4 linked regions of the Drosophila melanogaster genome follow. Changing the gene in region 2 together with the main gene of any one other region gives a genetic interaction. Each region holds a gene or a part of one and is shown on either strand. Other genes may lie near its edges. The genes, in order: ckn, Lar, Abi and Sema5c.

Evidence for each region.
Region 1: of Lar (region 2) and ckn, changing one enhances a phenotype caused by changing the other (phenotypic enhancement), as found in Drosophila melanogaster (one study listed by BioGRID).
Region 3: of Lar (region 2) and Abi, changing one enhances a phenotype caused by changing the other (phenotypic enhancement), as found in Drosophila melanogaster (one study listed by BioGRID).
Region 4: of Lar (region 2) and Sema5c, changing one suppresses a phenotype caused by changing the other (phenotypic suppression), as found in Drosophila melanogaster (one study listed by BioGRID).

Annotation. Positions count from the first base shown.
Region 1 is NT_033778.4:14,961,635-14,966,345, reverse strand, and holds the start of ckn (caskin), read right to left. Parts: upstream 3,055-4,711; 5' UTR 2,421-3,054; intron 663-2,420; exon of another isoform or gene 347-662; intron 1-346.
Region 2 is NT_033779.5:19,604,799-19,609,622, forward strand, and holds the start of Lar (Leukocyte-antigen-related-like), read left to right. Parts: upstream 1-1,770; 5' UTR 1,771-2,283; intron 2,284-4,824. UniProt on the Drosophila melanogaster protein: Possible cell adhesion receptor. It possesses an intrinsic protein tyrosine phosphatase activity (PTPase). It controls motor axon guidance. In the developing eye, has a role in normal axonal targeting of the R7 photoreceptor, where it negatively regulates bdl.
Region 3 is NT_033777.3:14,118,759-14,124,205, reverse strand, and holds Abi (abelson interacting protein), read left to right. Parts: upstream 1-1,785; 5' UTR 1,786-1,928; intron 1,929-1,956; exon of another isoform or gene 1,957-2,093; 5' UTR 2,094-2,104; coding exon 2,105-2,460; intron 2,461-2,736; coding exon 2,737-3,359; intron 3,360-3,420; coding exon 3,421-3,511; intron 3,512-3,583; coding exon 3,584-3,595; intron 3,596-3,733; coding exon 3,734-3,921; intron 3,922-3,977; coding exon 3,978-4,141; 3' UTR 4,142-4,944; downstream 4,945-5,447. Other genes in the region: twf (twinfilin), read right to left, coding at 19-171, 456-1,231, 1,333-1,410, 1,470-1,494.
Region 4 is NT_037436.4:12,078,793-12,083,495, forward strand, and holds the start of Sema5c (semaphorin 5c), read right to left. Parts: upstream 3,039-4,703; 5' UTR 2,560-3,038; coding exon 2,555-2,559; intron 2,167-2,554; coding exon 2,003-2,166; intron 1,249-2,002; coding exon 1,149-1,248; intron 1-1,148. UniProt on the Drosophila melanogaster protein: Regulates the motility of migrating epithelial cells by providing guidance cues within the migratory environment and may also play a role in development of the olfactory system. May act as a positive axonal guidance cue.

The sequences.
Region 1 (4,711 bases), on a different chromosome or scaffold from region 2:
CCTTCTAGGGATGTACTAAGGTATGATTTTAATATAAGCGTGGGTATGAATTTTGAGAGTAACTGGCATATATAATACTAGAACCATTTACCAATTTATATGGCTTAAACTACTTTTTTTCGGTGTAGTCATTAATAATGAAGGGTAGTGCTCAGCGTTTTACAGCTAAATTGAACGTTTTGAGACTTTTTTAAGGCACTTGCCTTTTGCCCCGCCCACCGCCTACAATTTTCGGCGAAAAATCGTATGCGGCTTACTACTACGCACACACACACCACGAAACGTAGTCACACGCACACATGCGTACGATTTTGCAGAACAACTGTGCAAAAAATATGCAAATTACCATGTTAAAATGATGAATTCCTTCGAGATTTCTATGCGAATCCAATGATGACACTTAAAATTCACATTAACTGCGGTTTTCACCAAGATACCAATTGATTTTTCATACGATAAATGCTGTGCAAAAATTTCTTTTTACGTTAACACCAACACACACATGCACGCACTCAAACTCACACACATACACACACACACGCGCGCGCGGACATATACCGAGCAGAAAAGTAGCTGTGTGTTGAGAATTGGAGAATCGCAGACCCCGAGCGAGAGGAGCCCGAAAAAAGAGAAGCGCCGACGACCGCAAGCCAAAGCGTATTGAATCGCGGCTCCAGCATTCGAGCATTAAAGCCAGGTCCGTAAAATCCGATTGGAGTCCGGAGTCCTCGAAGTTGTAAGTGAGAGAGACAGAGAGAGCGAGCCAGCTGAGCGAGCTCCAAAGGAGAGCGAATGCGCAACTTGTACTTGTACTTGTCCTCCCCTTCCCCTCCCCTTCCTTTCTATCATTCTCTTGCAAGGAGAGAAAACCATTTTTCTCAGCGGCCAATTTGTTGCAATTGAAACAATAACAATTCCGCTGGGCAATTTGTTTCGGGCCTGGCAAATTAGTTAGTTAATAAATGAATGAAAAGGGGGACCGAGGGAAAGGCGGTAGTGAAAGAGAAATGGGAAAACAAAGCGTAGCTTCAATAAGCAGGCACAAGCATTATTCCCTAAAGTGGTTGCCATTGGCAACGATGGAAATGCACTTGGCACAGTGGAACCGCTTACTGAAGGCGGCTACAAGAAGTTCACCGAAGTTCTGCTAAAGCCCTAAAGTACCCAAACTGTAAGATACTATATACATATGTAAATATTAGATACTATATAAAGATTGAACATATTAAGTTGGGCTTCAAAAAGATAGAGCCCTATTTATACGTTCAATGTTCCTATATATAACTTCAAGTTGTAAGATATTAATAGATCGTTCAACTTGGTTTACTTTTCCATTGCAGCGAGAAGATTAATGAGAGGGAGTGGGGACAGCAATTGATAATCTCCTTATCTGTCCCACTGTGCGTTGAATGCCACGCAAAAGACAAACAAACCGAGGCACGCACACACACACACACACACACACACAAGCGAATGAACCAAGCACAACCACTTTTCATGCCGCACAAGGCAATAAGAGAAATAGAGAGATGGAGCCACTTGGGGAGAGAGCGCAAGAGCGAGCGAGGCTCCATCGGCGGTAACTCTATTTGAGAACCGCGCAGCTGCATGCTCTCGCTCTCTTTCTCTGCCTCTAATCTCTTGGTGGAGCCATTGCCGCCCGACTCCCCTCCCCAACCGTTATTCTAACACTTCATTGGAGACAACGACATCAAGTCATTTGATTCCCACACAAATCTCTGCATATTGAGCGCGGACTCTCTCTACATCTCCAGCTATCTCGCTCTCACTCGTTTTATTATGGCAAGTGAGTTATGGTTTTTCCGGCTGTGTGTGTGTAAGTGTGTACTGCTGCGCTTTCTATTGATTTATATGAGTTTTATGGCGCAATCTGAGCTATAACAGCCAAAGAGCAGAAAAAATTTACGTAGAGCGCTGGTCTCGATTTTAATTATGGCAAGGGACAATTATGCAAACGGAGAATTAATAAAAAAAAAGGAAAACAATAAAGAACAAGACTTTAAGTTTTATTACACTCCCACTACTCACGACCAGAGTTGTCACGTGTCGTTCGCAATGCCAGACACGTGTTCGTTTATTAATTACATAAGCCTAAACAGCGGCAGCTGCAGTCGTGAGTACCCCTCCTCCTGATTGTCTTTTGTTTCCTCTATTTTTTTGTTGAAAACCCAATTTCCTGCAGATGCTAAAGATGCCGCATTGAATACAAGGCGCATCGAAACAGCTGGCAACCCTCATAAGTGACAGATGGCGACGCCGACGTCGACGCAGGCAGCGCAGGACGAAGGCCGCATCAAAATAAAAACACAAAAAAGAGTTGCCGCCTGTCCGAAATGTACCAAAAACACCAAGACCCATTTAAGTGTAAACGTAATTAAGTGTACATATTATAAACTTACGTTAGCAGATAATATTACTATTTTCCAGGCTTTTGGCTAAGTTCTCTCCGCTCCTCCTCTTACCGTTCGACAAATCACATAAATCACAAGCGTAACGAAAGCTGGCACACAAAATGTAAACAATGTAAAACGCTCGTAATTGTTGCTTTTGTAGCTTAATGAATTTCACGTTTTTTATGGTTTTTTCCACAAAAACAAGAGACTAACAAACGGCATCAAACGCACGCAGACACATCCACTCGCACCAAAACTCACTGTTTGTTGTCTTTATTTTATGTCTACGACGCGCGAGTAAAACATAAAAACCAGATTAATTTCAGGCAGACGAAAATGTTGACGCTTTTTTTTTTGTTGGTTTCTTTTAAGCTGAATTTCTTGCTCAGTTGTTGTGGTCGCGAGTGCTCTTTTTTATTTGCTGAGCCGCCATTTTCTTTTGTGGCAATTTGTTGAGTTTTATTTATTTTTTTTATTTTCTCAGATATATTAAGCACTGCTTTCTTACTTTGTAATTATAATCACTTTACTTTGTTGTGATATCCGTACTTGTGATATATTTCGTTTTTGAATCTAACGACAAAAGAACGGGTTTCCGCTACAAACGTCCGAACAGCGGAAAAACGAAAACAAAACTTAGTGTGATCGCAGCGTGGCTGTTGGAAAATACCTCATTAATAAAACATCGATTGCACACAAAGTATTGACGTATCGATGTTTTAGTATTTTTGGGTCATCTGCTCAGTTTGTGTTTTGAAGTTGATGTTATAATCATCAAAAAATAATGTCTTTTGTATTTTTGCTTTAAATAGTGTTGTACGTACAACTTTTTCATTTATCACCGGTCATAATTGTTTTCCACCCCTGAAACCGGTGTGGAAGCTCAAAAATACCAATTATTTAAAAACGACCCCTAGCAGTGTTGGTAAACATGTTATTATTGAGGCACTTGCAGCACTCCCTTGTCGGTATTTTCTGTGCTGTCACTTCGCGTTCTCCGCTTTGTGCTCTCCTTCCACAACGAAATAAACGGAGAAATAGCAATGTTAGTTTTAATTCGTTTTAGCCATAACAATTAATTAAACGAGTGCGAGTGCCAGTGTCTTAATTAAAATGTATGTGGCGCACTGATTGGCTTTAATTTAAATGTTTCGTGCTGTTTGATTTGTCCCCTGTGTTATATTTGTGCGGCGTTTTGTGCATACTTTTTGTGGTTAAATAAACTAAAGGAACCAGTGTGAGTCGATTACTAAGCTTAAGCTTATTAAAAGTGTTAATGTTAAAAAAGCGGCGTCTTAATTGAAAAATGCTAATGAGTTAAAACAGGTTGGCGACTCTCCTGCTCGCTCTCGATGCCCTGCCTCCACTCTCTCTCTTTCTCGCTCATTTGTTGCACTATTGTTGTTGCGGCCAACTGGGTACTTTTAACAGTTACCTTGGTCAATGTACGGCATTAATTACGCTCAAATACTTAAGTACTGAGATGCCAAGTAAGCGGTGAAAGAAGGAGAGGCGAGGAGTAAAAATAAACTAATTTGCACACTCGCTTTGGCGTGCTAATTCCACTTACTTTTCTTCTTTTATTGTTTTGTGGGCGTTTTGCATGATTCACTCGCGTTTGTTTTGTCTTATTCGTTTTATCAACGTCTACGCATTTGGTGCAGCGCAAGCAACAACAACTACCTGTGGCATGCAGTTCGTTTGGCGTCTGCGTATGTGTGTGTGTGCCTCAAATGTCAAAGTTGACATTTGGTTTTGGGCGGGATTTCAAATTCGTGGGCAAAGAGAAAACGATAACAGAGAGAGCAATAGAAATTCATAAGTTCGTTTATCTATCAGATTCTGAAGATAATGCTACGACACTTTACAGTTAAGCTTCTACAAAATAACAAATCCTTAAAAAAGTTCAGTCAATGTATAAATATAAATATATTTCGCCACTAATAGTTTATTAAAATATATTTTTTTATTTAAACTAGAAAATAAAACTTACTTTTAGCTTAATTTGTAATTGTAAAATGTCTTTTTAATTTATTTTACTGTAAACCGCTTCGTTTTTAACTCGTATCTATTTACTCTTATTTTTGCAGTTTTCTGTTATCAATCTGTTTGTCTCTGTGTGTTACGTGATATCAAAATATTTTACCCAGCTAGCAAATGCAGAAAATGCCCTCGCAAATTCTGAACGACGGCAGCAGCGTCAGCTTGAATAGCGCCAGTATGAACATGGCCAATACGCCCAATAGTATAACGGTAAAGACCGCCTACAATGGCCAGATTATCATTACCACCATCAA
Region 2 (4,824 bases):
AAAACAAAAAAAAAAAAGAGATAATTTCTTTGAGGCGGGATACTCACATGAGCAACAAATGCAGTTCATTGTCGGATCCTTCGTTTCCTTGGCTTTTTCTGTTGGCGTTTCCCAGTTTTTCCCACGGCGACTGCTGTGTCGTTTACATATCGTTTTTTGGCCCTCATCTCCTTTTTCTGGGCCACGTCGCGCTGTCTAAACGATTTACGACACTTTGGCCAACTGCCTCACGCACACATTTGCAATATTGTTTGTTTGTAAGTTTGTGTGGGTTGTGCGCGGGCGAGTGTCTGTGATATTAGCATGTAACGAACACACACACACACACACACAGATGCAGGAACAGGAGTTAACTTGGCCAAAAGGCAACACAAAATGCCGCACACGTTCGTTTTTATTATGTTAAATGTCTCCTGGGGCAGGAACATCAGCATCTGCGAGTTGTTTCCATCTGTTCGGTGGCTTTCTGCCTTTTAGCTTTCCTCCCTTCCTTTTGTCTTCTGACTTTTGGTAACTGTCACTTGGCTTGTTACATTTCACATTCACTTAGACTGCAGGATTAAATCTGGAGCGCGCCAAAAATCTAGCTAGCCAGGAAAATTAGCACAGGCCGTTTCTCGCCTTTTCCTGCTCGGCACTGCGCTGGTTCGCCCTTCTGCGAAATATCCTGCCAGCTCGTCCTTTCAGCCGATTTCAGCTTACTGCCCGCCGCTCCAGTTGAAACTGACGACTGGCGAACGACGGTCAAAGTCAATGGCGGGCTTTTCGTGGACGCGATTCGCTTTTCACCTTCGTCGACGGGCTCGGCGCCTAAAAGCCGAACCTTTCCGATTCACCCACGTCGAAAGCTCGTTTAGCCATCTCACCAGGCTCTCTTCGAGCAAGTCCTTGCTGAGAAGGATTGAGTTGCCTTAATCGCAGATTTGCTTCTCTTTGGTTTCATGTTCTAAGCCTCGCAGGTCTCGAATCTCGAAATTGAGTGAGTCTGTTTTGTTGCCTTTGAGCATTTAAAATGCGTTTACATTTCTCATATAAGCCTGTACTCTTTGCGTCTGCAATTCGAGTCCTTTTTAGTTGAGCTATAAATGTTATTACCCAGCAAGCACTTCACTCTAAGAGAAACATTGCTGGTTTTGCTATAAAAGCACTCAGTGATTATCTCAATGTTAAATAAATTAGCTCGAATCGAGCGAGCAGTGTAAACTGGATTTACCATTCCCATACATTTATAAGAATTAAATAATAATTTTTATAATGCTAAAGAAAATCCCAATTTTATATTAAATATAAAATATTTTTTGAAACTCATGCTAAAAATGATGTTTCGTAATTCCTCTCAGTTTATTTTACATTTTTTTCAAATTTATTTTATGTTATTTTATCAAATATTCCTTGCACTCAACTGTTCCATAACATTTTAAACTGAGTGATTTTTGAATGCTATTTAGAATCACTCCGATTTGTGTGCTCTTAACATTTCCCAGAATGGTTTGTCTATTCGATTGAGTTCTGAGTACAAAGTGAGTTCCTTTTGAGTAGCCATCCTTTGGTGTTTCTCTTCCATCGCTCGCAGCTTCGGCTGGCGAATTTCTCGGCTTTTCCGCTCTCCGGAAAAATCCACCACACTCGGCGCTCGGTCGGCGCATCCTCGGGCACGCTGAAGGACTCTTCGGGTCGAGTGGCGACTCACAAACGCACACACTGAACGCGAGGAAAACACGAGCATTGCTGCTAGCAGCCTTAGCCAATCGTAAAAGTTTTGTACGTATTTAGTACAATTTCGGGATTTGGCAGGATGTAACGAGCGTGTAAGAAACAGAGCGCGTCCTTCTCAGCCGTGTGTGTGCGATAATCGGGCAACAAGCAGCGCGACAGCAAATTGTATATTACACAAAATTCGCAAAAAATCCAACGAATCGTTTGAATCCAATTTCGAGTGATATAACATAACCACAGATCGTACTCGGTTATAATGCAATAGCAAAGAGCCGCAGCATTTCGAAAATCCGGCAAAGTGATTTTAGCCAAGTTAACCAAAAACCAAATCGTCGAACTCCTCGGCTTGCCTCGGTTCAACCCCCTTCAACCCTTTCTCCATTAACTCGTTGTTGCCGCTGTACTCGTACATATGTGTGCACTTGTTTTTGTGAACGTGTTTTGCCGCAAGCCGGTTAAAAAATTATTCCCATAATTACACCATCCGAGTTGCAGGCGAGGAACTTCCGCGAAACATAATTACCGAAGAACAACTGACGTAGCCGATAATACCTGGCGGATAAATCGGTAAAATCTAAAGAGAAAACAAACTCTGAAAATTATCAGAAGCCTGGTGTGTGGTGTGTGCGTGTGACCTGGAATTTCCTTATGAATATCGATATATATATGGACTTTATCCTTATCGTCCTGGCCCTGCTAATAAGAAACGGCAATCCTGTGCCGCTGCTCGAGATGGAGATTGAAACGATTGCCCCGGGGAGAAGGGGATTCCTTCGGTCTCCCCATCCTTTCTTCCGTAATAGTGTCGTTTCCTTTATTTGTCCTTTTATGTTTACCTACTTTTTCTTTTTGTGCTCCGTCGTTTCGTCGTGGTTTGGTTTGGTTTGGTTTAGTTTGCTCGCACACAATTGAAAATTCAATTGATTTACAAAATGAAGTTTACTGGTTGGGACGACAGATACTTTTTATCTATTTTCATTTGCAGTTTTACGAGCGAGCAGCTCTTTTTTCGGCCCGCTCCTTTTGGCCTCAAAGCGAAACGGTTGGCAATTTTTCACAGTTCTTTTTCGATTGAGGTCCTGGCGGGGTTTCCTGCAGTTTGGTGCGAAAATAACGCTGCGTCCTGCAAGGATTGTTGTGGCTGATGTTTTCGCTGCCTTCCGATTCGGGTGTGCCGAGAGTGTGTGTTTGTGATTGGAGCGGCCTAAAATCGTTTTAGGACCAGCTGCGAAGTGATTTTCAGCTAAGGCGAAAAAAGGACTGCAGTGTGTGTCCTGTGTGAGTGTGGGTCTGCAGATTGACATAGTTATGTCCTCGGCAAGTAATGGGAAGTTCTTGGCAAGAGCTCAAGAAAATTTAAGTTTGGCCTGGCCTTGCAAAGCTAAATAAGATTCTATATATATAGGTTGTTTTAAAGCCAAAATGTTTACTAATGCTTAAAGCTGTTCTCAAAATGAAGCATTTTTCAATTGACATTATCTGCTATTCAATATTTTCAAGCGAGTTCCTTATTCAGAGCCTTCTGCTCAATTCTCTAGTATAAAATATTATTTTTGAGTAAATTCTCAATAAAACTTATAAAAGTAAATATTCTGAAAAAAAGCCTTTCCAAGTGTTTTGACAAGTATTTAATATTTTCGTTGTAGAAACTCGTACAACACAACTCAACCTAAAATGTCTTTCACCACTTGCCTCAAGGAACTTTCCTCGTTTTTGGTGTCAAGTGTTTTTATTAGAAGCAGAAGCAGAAAGGAGAAAAATTGCCGACGAAGGGGCGAAGTAAAAATTTTTCCTTTCATTCCTTTTTCGATCCAAACTTGAAATGAGGTTTGAAACAAAAACGTTTTTTCTGCGCCAGTGTAAAATAATACGCATACGCCATGTATAACGAATACCCAAAGTAGGCTTCACAAGTGGTAAGGGCTACTTTCTTTGGCAGAAACAGAATCGAAAATCGTAGGATATGGTTGTTAAAAACTATAGGCTATTCTATGGCTTACATTAGCCTAATTGAAATTATATCGCTTGATACATCGTTCGCAGGGCTTGGGGTTAATTAGGTGCTGACCAAGTTGAAATTACTATGTAACTTGTTTATTATATTAACATGTGGTTGCTCCTATTGAATGAAAACAGTAGCTAGATATATATATATATATAGATGGATGGATTGATATTGATAAATGAGAGGGGGCTTAATTTGCTCTTTGCATTTCACAGCGACTCGAACTATCCCCACTCCCATTAGCCCTATGGGCCTCAGTTGGAGCCAAAGCAAAAGGACTAGTACTTCAATGGGCACCCCCCCCCCCCCCACCTTCCATTCTCACTGTTCAAACAGCGTTTTACCATTCGTTCGTCATGCCATCGTTGGCTATATAAAGGCGGCTGATCGGCCACGCCCACTCTTCTTTTTCGCCGCTTGTTGTTGACGTTTACAATTTGGTGTTGAAAACTTCAGCTGGAAATTGGGTAATACTCGTGATGATGGCGTTGGTTGGATGACTGCAGCAATCCTGCATTAAGTACCCTCCTGTGTCTGGATGTCGGTGTGTGTGTGTGTGTGAACGCGAAGGGGTTTGCAACAAAGAAATTTTAATTTATATAGAATGAGTTTGGGGGCGGCAATACCTCCATTTTCCACCACCTCTCTCTCTCCTTTTTTTCGGCTGCAGTCGTCGACATTCCGATGTTCGTGTTCTGTGCTCACAGTGCTCTCACTCACTCACTCGTTCGCACATGGAGACCGAAAAAAATCCAATTATTTTAAAACTTTTGACAACTGCAACAACAAGGCGTTGCAAGGCTATGAAAACAATAAGAAACTGACTGAACAGCCAGAGGCAACAAAAACAATATATGTGTATGTATGTATGTAGGGGAAAGTCGAAAGTCCGCAAAAAATCAAGCAGAAAAATGAGTGTGAGTGCTCGAAAGGGTTGCCAGCCATTATAACTTCACTTGAAAAGTTTAATTGATTTTTACAAGTGCATACATATACATACATACATACATATATATATATATATACGGAGATGGACGCAAAAACATGCATACGTACATATGCCACGGACCTACCTGCAGTCGTGATTCTCGTGATTTCGCTTT
Region 3 (5,447 bases), on a different chromosome or scaffold from region 2:
TGGGATCGGGATTCAGACTTAGTCCTCTGCGGTGGGACGCGTGAGGCGCTTGGCGCCTCGGTTTGGTGGCCCCTTGGGCTTGGCAAAAGCCGGTCGGTGTAGAATCTTCTTTGGGTGCAGCTCGTCCTGCAAGAAGGCTTCGGTCAGCTCGCTGCCGCTGTCGATTTCAAGCTGAAATGTAAAACGTTGTTAGAAACATGAATCAGATTTAGTATGATTTAAAATTACTCATTATTTATGATTTACAGATTTCTATTTCAAGTGAAAAGTGAGACATTCGCCCTAATTATGATTCAAAATATTTCTAGAGATCGTGAATCAAAAGTATAGTGAATGTGGCGATTTGAAAGCAATAAATAAATCACAAACAATATATACCCTGCTTTTGCTTTTTATAGCCCTAATCTTTAGTGCTATTAGCGCAGCCACACCCACTCGCATTCATATCAACTCACCTTCTTAACAACCTCCACGCCAAGGGCCGCGAGCTCGTCGAGAAAAGGAGCCTTACAGCTTGAGTACATCATGCGCTCGCGCACGGAGCAGGAATATCCAGGCATGGAGTAGACGAACACGTACGACTCAAAGTAGTCGCCCTCGTGCGTGTGCCGAAACAGGAAGAGGTGGTATCGTGCATGATCCTCGGGCACTTGCTTCGGCAGATCGGCGAGCTCCACTTTGGCCGCACGCGAAACATGGATCTGTTCCTCCTCCAGATCGATGCGGAACTGAAGGTAGTCGTGCTTGCCGCGCACCAAATCCTGAACGGCAGCCACGGTTGCCTCGCTCAGCGGGCAATTGATCCCACCCAGAGTTTGGTGCCGCGTATTCGTATTGATCTCAGTGTGAACCTCTGTCTTTCGCAGCTCTTTCAGCTCCTCCTCCCTGCTGGTCAATGGAGCTGGGGCTGCGAAATCCTGCTTGTGCCGGCGATAGCCCTCCAGCGTGCACTCATCCAGAGTGGTGGCATGCAGCTCCTCTGTGATGTATGCTGATCCGAACTCCGTTTTCAACGTGGCCTTCGTGGAAGCGTATACCATCTTCTGTCGGATGCTGGCCGTGTCCGGCGTCCAGCTGATAAGTAGCCAACTGTAGCCCAGCGGGATCTTGGCGTCCAGGCGATAGAGAATATAGCAGGGCACATCCTTTTCCAGTAGGGGACCTATAAGCTTGTCGTAGTCGCGCTCCCAATCCTTTTTCGTCTCCGCCGTGGCGCCGCAACTAAGCTGCTCTGTAATTTGGGGCGGGGTGAAAACGGATGCGGGTTCGTTATCAAATCGTATGCCTAGTATATATCTTGTGTATATACGTTTCTGGATTAAATCCACTCACCATTCTCGATCGAAACTTTTATCACGCGAAATTTACCATTCTTCGCTTTGCCGAACACCTTGGCCAGCTGCTCGTTGGCTGAAAATACAAAGGGTGTTCTAAGGATGCGGATTAGGTGGTTCCCAAAGATAACAAACCTCGGATACCCGTTTGGTGAGACATTTGGACAACAGCTAAAATTAATATTGCCGAAAAAATATATTACTCACAACCAGTGTGACCGCAAAGCGCGAGTAGGGAAATACTAAACCGGGAAATATGTACCGATTCTGATTGGCAATCACTTCAAAGCGGCTTTAAATGTGTAAAAAAAAAAGAATTATTAATTAAAAAGATACTGTAATGCTATTTTTATAACTAAATTTTGGGAAAATTTTTAACACTCTGTTTTATAGAACATACATTTCAAAAATAATACCAAATGTGTCTGCACTGATACAGTGTTGAAAAATTCTTCAAGCTCCAGTACTTTGCAGCACAGGCCAGCGTTCTTTCTTTTTTCACGGAAAATGTAATGAAAAACTGCATTTAACTGCATTTAAAACGTAGCAACTAGCCCGGAAAAGCATCTGTTGTGCAATCGCATAGTCAATAAAGTGAGTGCACGCGAGATTCGTCCGATTAAACCGCTCCAGCGATCAACTGGAGCAGCTGGGCGTCGACGTCGGCAGAGGCCAGCCCACGCCCCAAATGTTTACGGGCGTGAAAAGTGCGGAAAAGCGAGGAATTTAATTGGGTTTTCGTTTCCCGTTTGCCCGCAGCATCCACACCCATGTTGACCGAAACCCCCATGGCCAGCGAGAACATCATGGACGAACTAGCCTCTCTGATACGCACCGAGATCCCCGATGGCCGCCAGAGTCTGCGGGACAGCTACACGAACCTGGAGCGGGTGGCCGACTACTGCGAGGACACCTACTACCGCGCGGACAACAAGAAGGCGGCCCTGGAGGCCACCAAGAACTACACCACCCAGTCGCTGGCCAGCGTGGCCTACCAGATTAACACGCTCGCCTATAGCTACATGCAGCTCCTCGAGCTTCAGGCCCAGCAGCTCGGCGAGATGGAGTCCCAGATGAACCACATCGCCCAGACGGTGCATATCCACAAGGAGAAGGTGGCCAGGAGGTAAGAACAACAAATTGCTTAAACTAGAATAGGAAAAGGGGATATGCATATTTTAAAACGACAAAGAATACGGAATGAACATTTTTGTCTGTAAGTACGACTCATCGGTGATAAAAGCTTCATAGAGAAGAAATGTACATTCATACATGCGTCGTCAGACGTGCTGATAAGACTGAACGTCTCTTTCTTCATTCTTTTCCTACATAACTATTTAGTTTTTTCAATTCACTTTATTTGTATTAATTATTTTTGATTATCTTCATTGTCTTTTCTCAGAGAGATTGGCGTGCTTACGGCTAACAAGGTGAGCTCGCGCCAGTTTAAGATCGTGGCGCCCATCAATCCGGAGAAGCCCATCAAGTATGTGCGCAAGCCCATCGACTACTCGATGTTGGACGAGATTGGCCACGGCATTAACTCGGCCCAGCACTCGCAGGTGCGACAGAAACATCGGGGCTCCAGCCATGGGTCCGTGCAATCCTTATTGCCGCCGTCGGTGGGACCTCCGCCAACCACGAAGCCCCCAACTCCGCCGCAGATGTCGCGAGCTGGGAACACTGGCACACTGGGCAAGTCGGTCAGCAATACCGGGACACTGGGCAAGAGTTCGCGGGAGTACCGCACTCCGCCTGTGGTCAATCCACCACAGGTGCCATCGCACTACGCTCCCAACTATCCTATTGGGCATCCAAAGCGAATGTCGACGGCTTCTTCAACGATGACTACCACCACCACAGGCGGCGGAGCGGCGGGCAATGAACGAGCTGCTGGCTACAGTGCACTTCCGATGCCACCCAGCCAGCAGATAGCCACACATGTAAACCTGCCCTCCGCGGGCATGATGCAATCGCTGCCACCACCGCCGCCCACTACGTACGACGATCGCAGCAGCATGCCACGTGAGTTAATTTGATTATTCTGCAATAGCTCAATACTAATAATGCGGTTTGCAATTCGTAGCAGCTCCTCCTTCACCACTTACGGTTTCGCAGCACGAGATGACCGAGCAGAGTCACATTGGCATGCACACTTTGGGACGCAATATCAACAGGTAAGTTTCTGGAAAATGCAATCCCTTCTTTGTGTAAATATAACCTATTTATTGTTCTCTGTGCAAATCCAGGAATCCAAATAGGTAAATTGCATGTTTCTCTGTTTATCATAGGGTTATACTCAGCTAAAAAAAGTTATACTAGGTTTTCGTGTTTGTACTGTGTATAACTCCATGAAATTCATATGTTATCTTGTATATTAAACGCGTATTTTTCCAAAGGAATCACTTCAGCTTGAACTTCGCTCGTCCCGGCTCACAGTCGCCTCCCTTGCCACCTCCGCCGCCGCCGGAGGATGAGCATCAAGACTTCGGACGACCACGCACATCGACGGGACCGCAGCTGGCGCCCATAGTGCCCGAGGATCAGAACTTACCCGGCTGGGTGCCCAAGAACTTCATTGAGAAGGGTAGGCTGATTGGAGCAACTAACAATATACCTTACTAATTCTTACAAACATTCCAGTGGTAGCCATTTACGACTACTATGCCGACAAGGACGACGAGCTGAGCTTCCAGGAAAGCTCAGTGCTGTACGTGCTCAAGAAAAACGACGACGGCTGGTGGGAGGGCGTCATGGATGGTGTTACCGGTCTGTTTCCGGGCAACTACGTAGAGCCTTGTGTCTAAGCCTCGCATCGATATTCTAAACATGCCAACCATTACAATAATCTGCATCATCTGGTCTGTTCCAGTCCTCTGCTGCTTCTCAAGAGCTCCAAAAAATTTCAATTCAGTTATCGGAGAGTTAGACTGAGGACCGCAACAGACTCAGCTGACAATGACGATAAGATTTTGAGCATATTAATAAGGACAATTATACAATTACACACCTACACAAGCACAGCAGGCCAGAGAAAGCGAATTCCATTAGCATCAGCCAACCGCATTTAGTCTAATATAAACGAGCACACAAACACACAGAATCCACGGGCTAGGGATACCGCTTGCTGCCCAACTAAAACTATTTACACTTTAGTAGCCGAAAACGATGCAAGAAGGGGAAAGTGAAACCGGATACCCGTGAATAACTTATGCGATATTATAAAACTGTTCCACAACCGTAGACGAATTCTGTCCTGCTCCTGCCGCCAATCCAAATACTTTAAATATTTGCTCACAGTTTTATCAAGCGATTTCTGTTTGCCTTGCGCTTTGATATGCCCGGCTATTATACACCAATACTACCCGAACCTATGCCCCCAGCAATACTGTAGGTTATATAAATTTCAGTTAGCATTTAATACTTAAGTATTGGCCAGTTGGAACTTTTGTTTATACTTTTACGAACCGCAACGATGTCTTTTTTTTGCGAACGTTTAGTTAAAATGGAATTGCCAGCAAAGGAATCAAATTAAATTAAACAATACAAGTACACATACGCTCTATATGGTAAAAATAATAGCTAATAAAAATTTCAATTACTAAACCGCAAGCCCTTGTTCTATGACCGTGTAATTTGCGCTGACCTTCTCGTGAGTCGAGCCCCGGATGTCAGTAAAAATCCGTAATTGGGGCAAGGCTCTGTGGCCTGCCAAATTCAAATTCGAAATCTCAAATGCAAATTTCAAGTCGTGTGATGGAAGGCTTGAAATATTTGCAAATGCCAACACTCATTGGGGTCATTCAGTCAGTCAATCAATCCATTATAATCGACACTTTGCTCTACAAACCGATTTCAATTCAATGTCTCGTCCCGGAAAACTTTTCCATAACTCGGCTCCGGGTAAATTAATGCTTTCGTGGTGATATGTGGAAGGTTTTTTACCCATTTGCTAAATTTATTATCAGGTTTCGAGGAGTTGACGTGGCGGAAATGCCAGAAAAAAGTGGAGTGCTGGCATGATTTGCATAAAATGTGCTAAATTGTTGCCCACTTTTTGGGCCCCTCAACTATACATACATAAATATGGAAATACCTTTATTTGTGAACAAT
Region 4 (4,703 bases), on a different chromosome or scaffold from region 2:
GCCCTTCGCTACAAACGGTTTTCTTTTTTTTTTTTTTTAATATCGGGCTCTTATCATTATGCCATAATTCAGAGGTTGGTAAATAAGAGAGCAACAAAAAATATGGCAGAGTGGAGTTATGGTCGAAGTGAAAATCGTAGGCAATAAAGAATAGAAAAGGCAACTAAAACTGAAACTGAAAAGTATGACAAATGATTGACGACAAGGGAACATGATAAACGACTTCCCTTCCCGGGCAGCAATGGGTTAAGGTGGGTTTATCAACATGACGACACTATAGACACATGCGTCCATGTGTGTATCTTATCGTGTTTTTTTTTCCGACAGAGGTGGAGTAGTATCGCATCCATATCTATGCGAAGCAGAAACAAACAAACTTCAAGACGCGTAAATGAAAAGTAAACTACAAGAACCGAGTAACCCGGCTAAAGCGACAGATACTTTTGTATCTCGAAACGCGTATATTAAATTGCTCAACAAATAAACGGAGTATACCACTTCTCCCTCGGCGCTGCAATATTATTATTTGGTTACCTTTTCGGTTTTGTTCCCTTTCCCTCTTTTCTTAATTTTTTTATTCTTTTTTTTACACTCAATTATCTTTATTTATTCACTTGCGCACAGCAGGTACTTGAGATAAGTTCTCGACGAGGGGTTTTTTTTGTTTTTGGTCGATCTTGGTTGATATGTAAAAAATCTTTGGTATACCAGTGCGTGCACTTTCATTTTTATACACTTTTGTGTATTTTTTTGTAACTTGCGTAATACGCTAAAAAAACACAGAAGACGAATATAATCAGTACCCGTTTTACGTACGCAATGCATCTGTTTATTTTCTTCTGATCGTCGAATTTTACGTAATGCCTCTCTGCTGATAACCCAAAGTTAACAAATGCTTAAGTGACGATTTATTTTCGGGGGTGTTTTCCCTTTTCATTTCTTATCGCTATCAATGCCCAAAATAATGACCCACTTATCGGTGAGACTAATTAAAAAGCAAGTCCTTCAAACAGTACATATCTTTGGGGTTTTGACGCAACAGGAAAAATAAAAACAGTCATAATGACTAGGTACACGGCTTAGCCGTGACTCAATTGGCCGGAAACAAAATCTATAATAACTAATAACAATAGCCTCCCGGTTTTTACCTGGCGCCGACAATCACTTGGTTCCTGGCCACGTCGAATAGCATTTCCGAATACCAGGTCGTTTCGGGATCGTAAAATCGTTTGGCCGTCGACATTAAATCTGTTAAGAAAATAAAAACATTTTTGTAAGAAAAAGATTGCACAAAATCGTAAAAACAAATACTAAGCAATTTAATTGAAGTTTTATTAGCAATTATATTAGCAATTATTATATAAGCAATTATTATCTCAGCAATTATATTGCAAATTTATTAAAACATTTTGGCATCTTGGCACAATTAAGCTCAATTTTATTTAACCCATATTTTTCAAGGTTTTTAAAAGATTCACTGATTCATTGGTAAAACATATACTTTTCAATATTTAAGTGCGAAATAAAATAAAAAAGCGCTAAACAAAAATTAAAATCATTGTCAACACAACGTTGGGCTGAGTTCGCATTTTAAGACGGACTTCGAGATACATTTCAGTGCAAAAATCACAAAAAAAGAACAAATATTTTAACAAAATGCGAAACTTTTTCTGATTAAAAGCAGCAGATACACGAATGTATTGGGGTGTCATAAAAGCGGTTTGTTGGGGAACTCGGTTAAATCGAGATCATTGTTGACATTCCGTGCAAATACAAACAGTTGGGCAGATGGGTGTATTCGTTGTATTCGAAATGGCACCTGTTCGATCGAACCGAACATTTGTGCAATCGATTGCAGCAGACTCTCGGAATCACTTAGAACTTTGACAGACATCAACCCAATTTACAGTTCCACCGCTTCAAGTGGCCAACTTGATTGATTGCCGTGCAATTGACACAGTTTCGAGTAATTTTTGATAATCCGCCCACCTCGAGAACTCACCTTGATATGAGATGTATCGCGAATCGTTTTCCAGCAAATCCACACTTGATTTTGTCGTATAACCACTGCCCGTCGAAGGCTGTGGGCCTTCTAGGGTTAAGAGCGATAGAATCAGAAGAAGCCACAGTTGGCTAAACATTTTGGGAAGTTTCAGTATTAACATGCTGCAAAAAGAAAAGAAATGAAGTTGTAATGTGTGTTGTGGATATAATATAGTTTTTCATACATTTTTAACTAATTATCGACGTTCAACAAACGCTAACTCAATTTCTTCTTAAATGTTATTTATCCTCTTTTCAACTCAGAAATAACAGTTCTTAAATTTTTTAAATTAAAATTGTCTTCAATAATTCCTTAAACACTAGCTTTTAAATAAGTTTAAATTATATTTCATTTTGAATTATGTTTCACTATTTAACAGAAACCCCTTAATCTGTCCTGAAGATTAGTAATAAGTTTTTGTTGCAGCACTTTACACTTCCTCAAAAAATATTACAAAAATTGTAAACAGCAAAAAACGTCGATTATACAGATGAGATAGTCGAAACTTACTTCATTTAGTGTCACGTTTCGTGCAAAATAAAAGACTAAAATTTATTCCATTCAACTTTTGCGGCGAACAGATTGTAAAAGACTGTTGGTAAATTGTATAATATAGGCATGTGCCTGATAAGCAGGGGAATCGAGCAAGGCGCGTGTTTCTGATTCTTCAGATGATCTGACCGTAACTACGATCACCGTGGTTCACTTTGCACACAACACTCACAATTTTTCAATTTTCCATACGATTTTCGTATTATTTGAAAGAAATTTTCAGAAGAAAGGCGGATTGGCTCCCCCTCAAGTGGAGTTGGGTTAAAAACATTGACAAAAGACACAGATAGACACCAACAACACGGTCGACGAATATAGCGAGACGGGTTTTTACTTCTGCCTCGATTTCCTACTCTTATGATTATTCAGATACGAGTTATACGGACGCGCATGCCCGACCGATCGGCGAAGTTGACCGCGCAAAGAGTCGCAAGAAACTGAACCCACCATGGATTCGGATTCGGATCCATAGTCAGTCGATAGAGAGAGAAGAGAGTGAGACAGAGAAGCGAATGGAACGAAAACAAAAACGTGAAAACGAAGCACGAACGCAAAACAAAAAAAAAACGCCGAGGCAAACAAGAGAGAACAGGCTAAAACGCCGACGAAGATAACCGGCTCAATTTCGGCTTGAAGAATGCACTCGGAAAAAATGTGCAATACAACAAGGAAAAAAATATTTAAAATTCGCTTTCCTTTGATTCAAAATTTAAAAACGAAAATATATTTTACATAATTTATTCAAGAAATATTTTTCAGAATTATGTGTATTCGTTTTTAATGATTTTCTGCTAGTATCTTAAATGTTAAAGACTTTTCAAGCCTTAATTCATAAAATTTATAAGTACACAGAAGTGTAGCATAGTTTTGAGGTCCTTACCTATGAAATAATCCAATGAATTAAAAACTATATATAATATAATTCAACTGTAAAAATAAAAATAAAAAATAATAATAAAATAATTAAAAGACCTTATTTTCATCTTTGTAATTTATTATTTTAACTGAACTGTTTGTTAAATCGAATAATTTAAGGGCAAGTCTCTTAGATAGTAATAGCAATCCAAATTTATTTTTCAAGTCATCCCACAAAAGTAAGTACGAATTTCTCTCAGTGTCTGCTTGGGAGTTAAGAGGCGCGGCTACGGCAGCCGAAGCAGCAACTGGGCAGGGCGCTCATATATCATGCGACAACGACAACGAGAACGACTCTTCAGAATCAGAATCTGAATCTCCGGGATCGGGATCGGGATGTGCAGCTCCGCGAAGAGGTATAGAGAAGCCACTTGGAGGGTGGGACGGGCACTTGCTGTGCTTCGATTTGGTAGCCTGACAAATTGACATTAGTATTGCCGACGTCGCGGTTCGAGGACACGTGATATATTCCTCCAGACGAGGGATCAACAGATCCTATCTTTTCCGCCTTGCGACGTTTTTGCCCATCAGCAAAGATACTCGATTAGCAAATCATAGAAATGGCGCCAAAACAAATGATTTAATAGATTTTCTCATTCTATACAGATAGATAGTATAGTATATTTTTGATACAAAAGGAATGATTTATCACTTATTTAATTATTTCTTTATCATAATGAAGTATAAACGGTGTTTTAATGCTTTGTACAACAGTTTACAGTACCTGAATCACTCATCTCAAGTCCAACACCATAAAGTTCTTATTTAAGGAACAACAACAGATATGACGCATTTTCACGGGATTAGTTTTGCTCATTCACCTGGTGGGGCTTTGTTCTATTTTTTTAGTGTTCCTTCCAAGGTTTTCCTTTTACTGCAGACATCCCAGGCTGTACTATTCAGATCTTTGTCAGCCTTGACTCCCAGAGTAAGTGTGAAAACACAGCTGGTCGCTGAGAACAAATACGAAACCATCAAATGGACCGTCCCGAAGGTGCAGTAACCTCAACTTGAATGCAACTGCAACACGATCCTCGGATTTTGTTTATGCCACAGCACGAACCCAAGGGATACACAAACATGAGGACCGATGCCATCCGTCCAATCCGTTTCAATTCGATCCGGGAGTTAAAGTTGAGTGTGGGCAGACAACGATCGACATTAGCATAGGCCCAAAACATTGCCAGCCCAT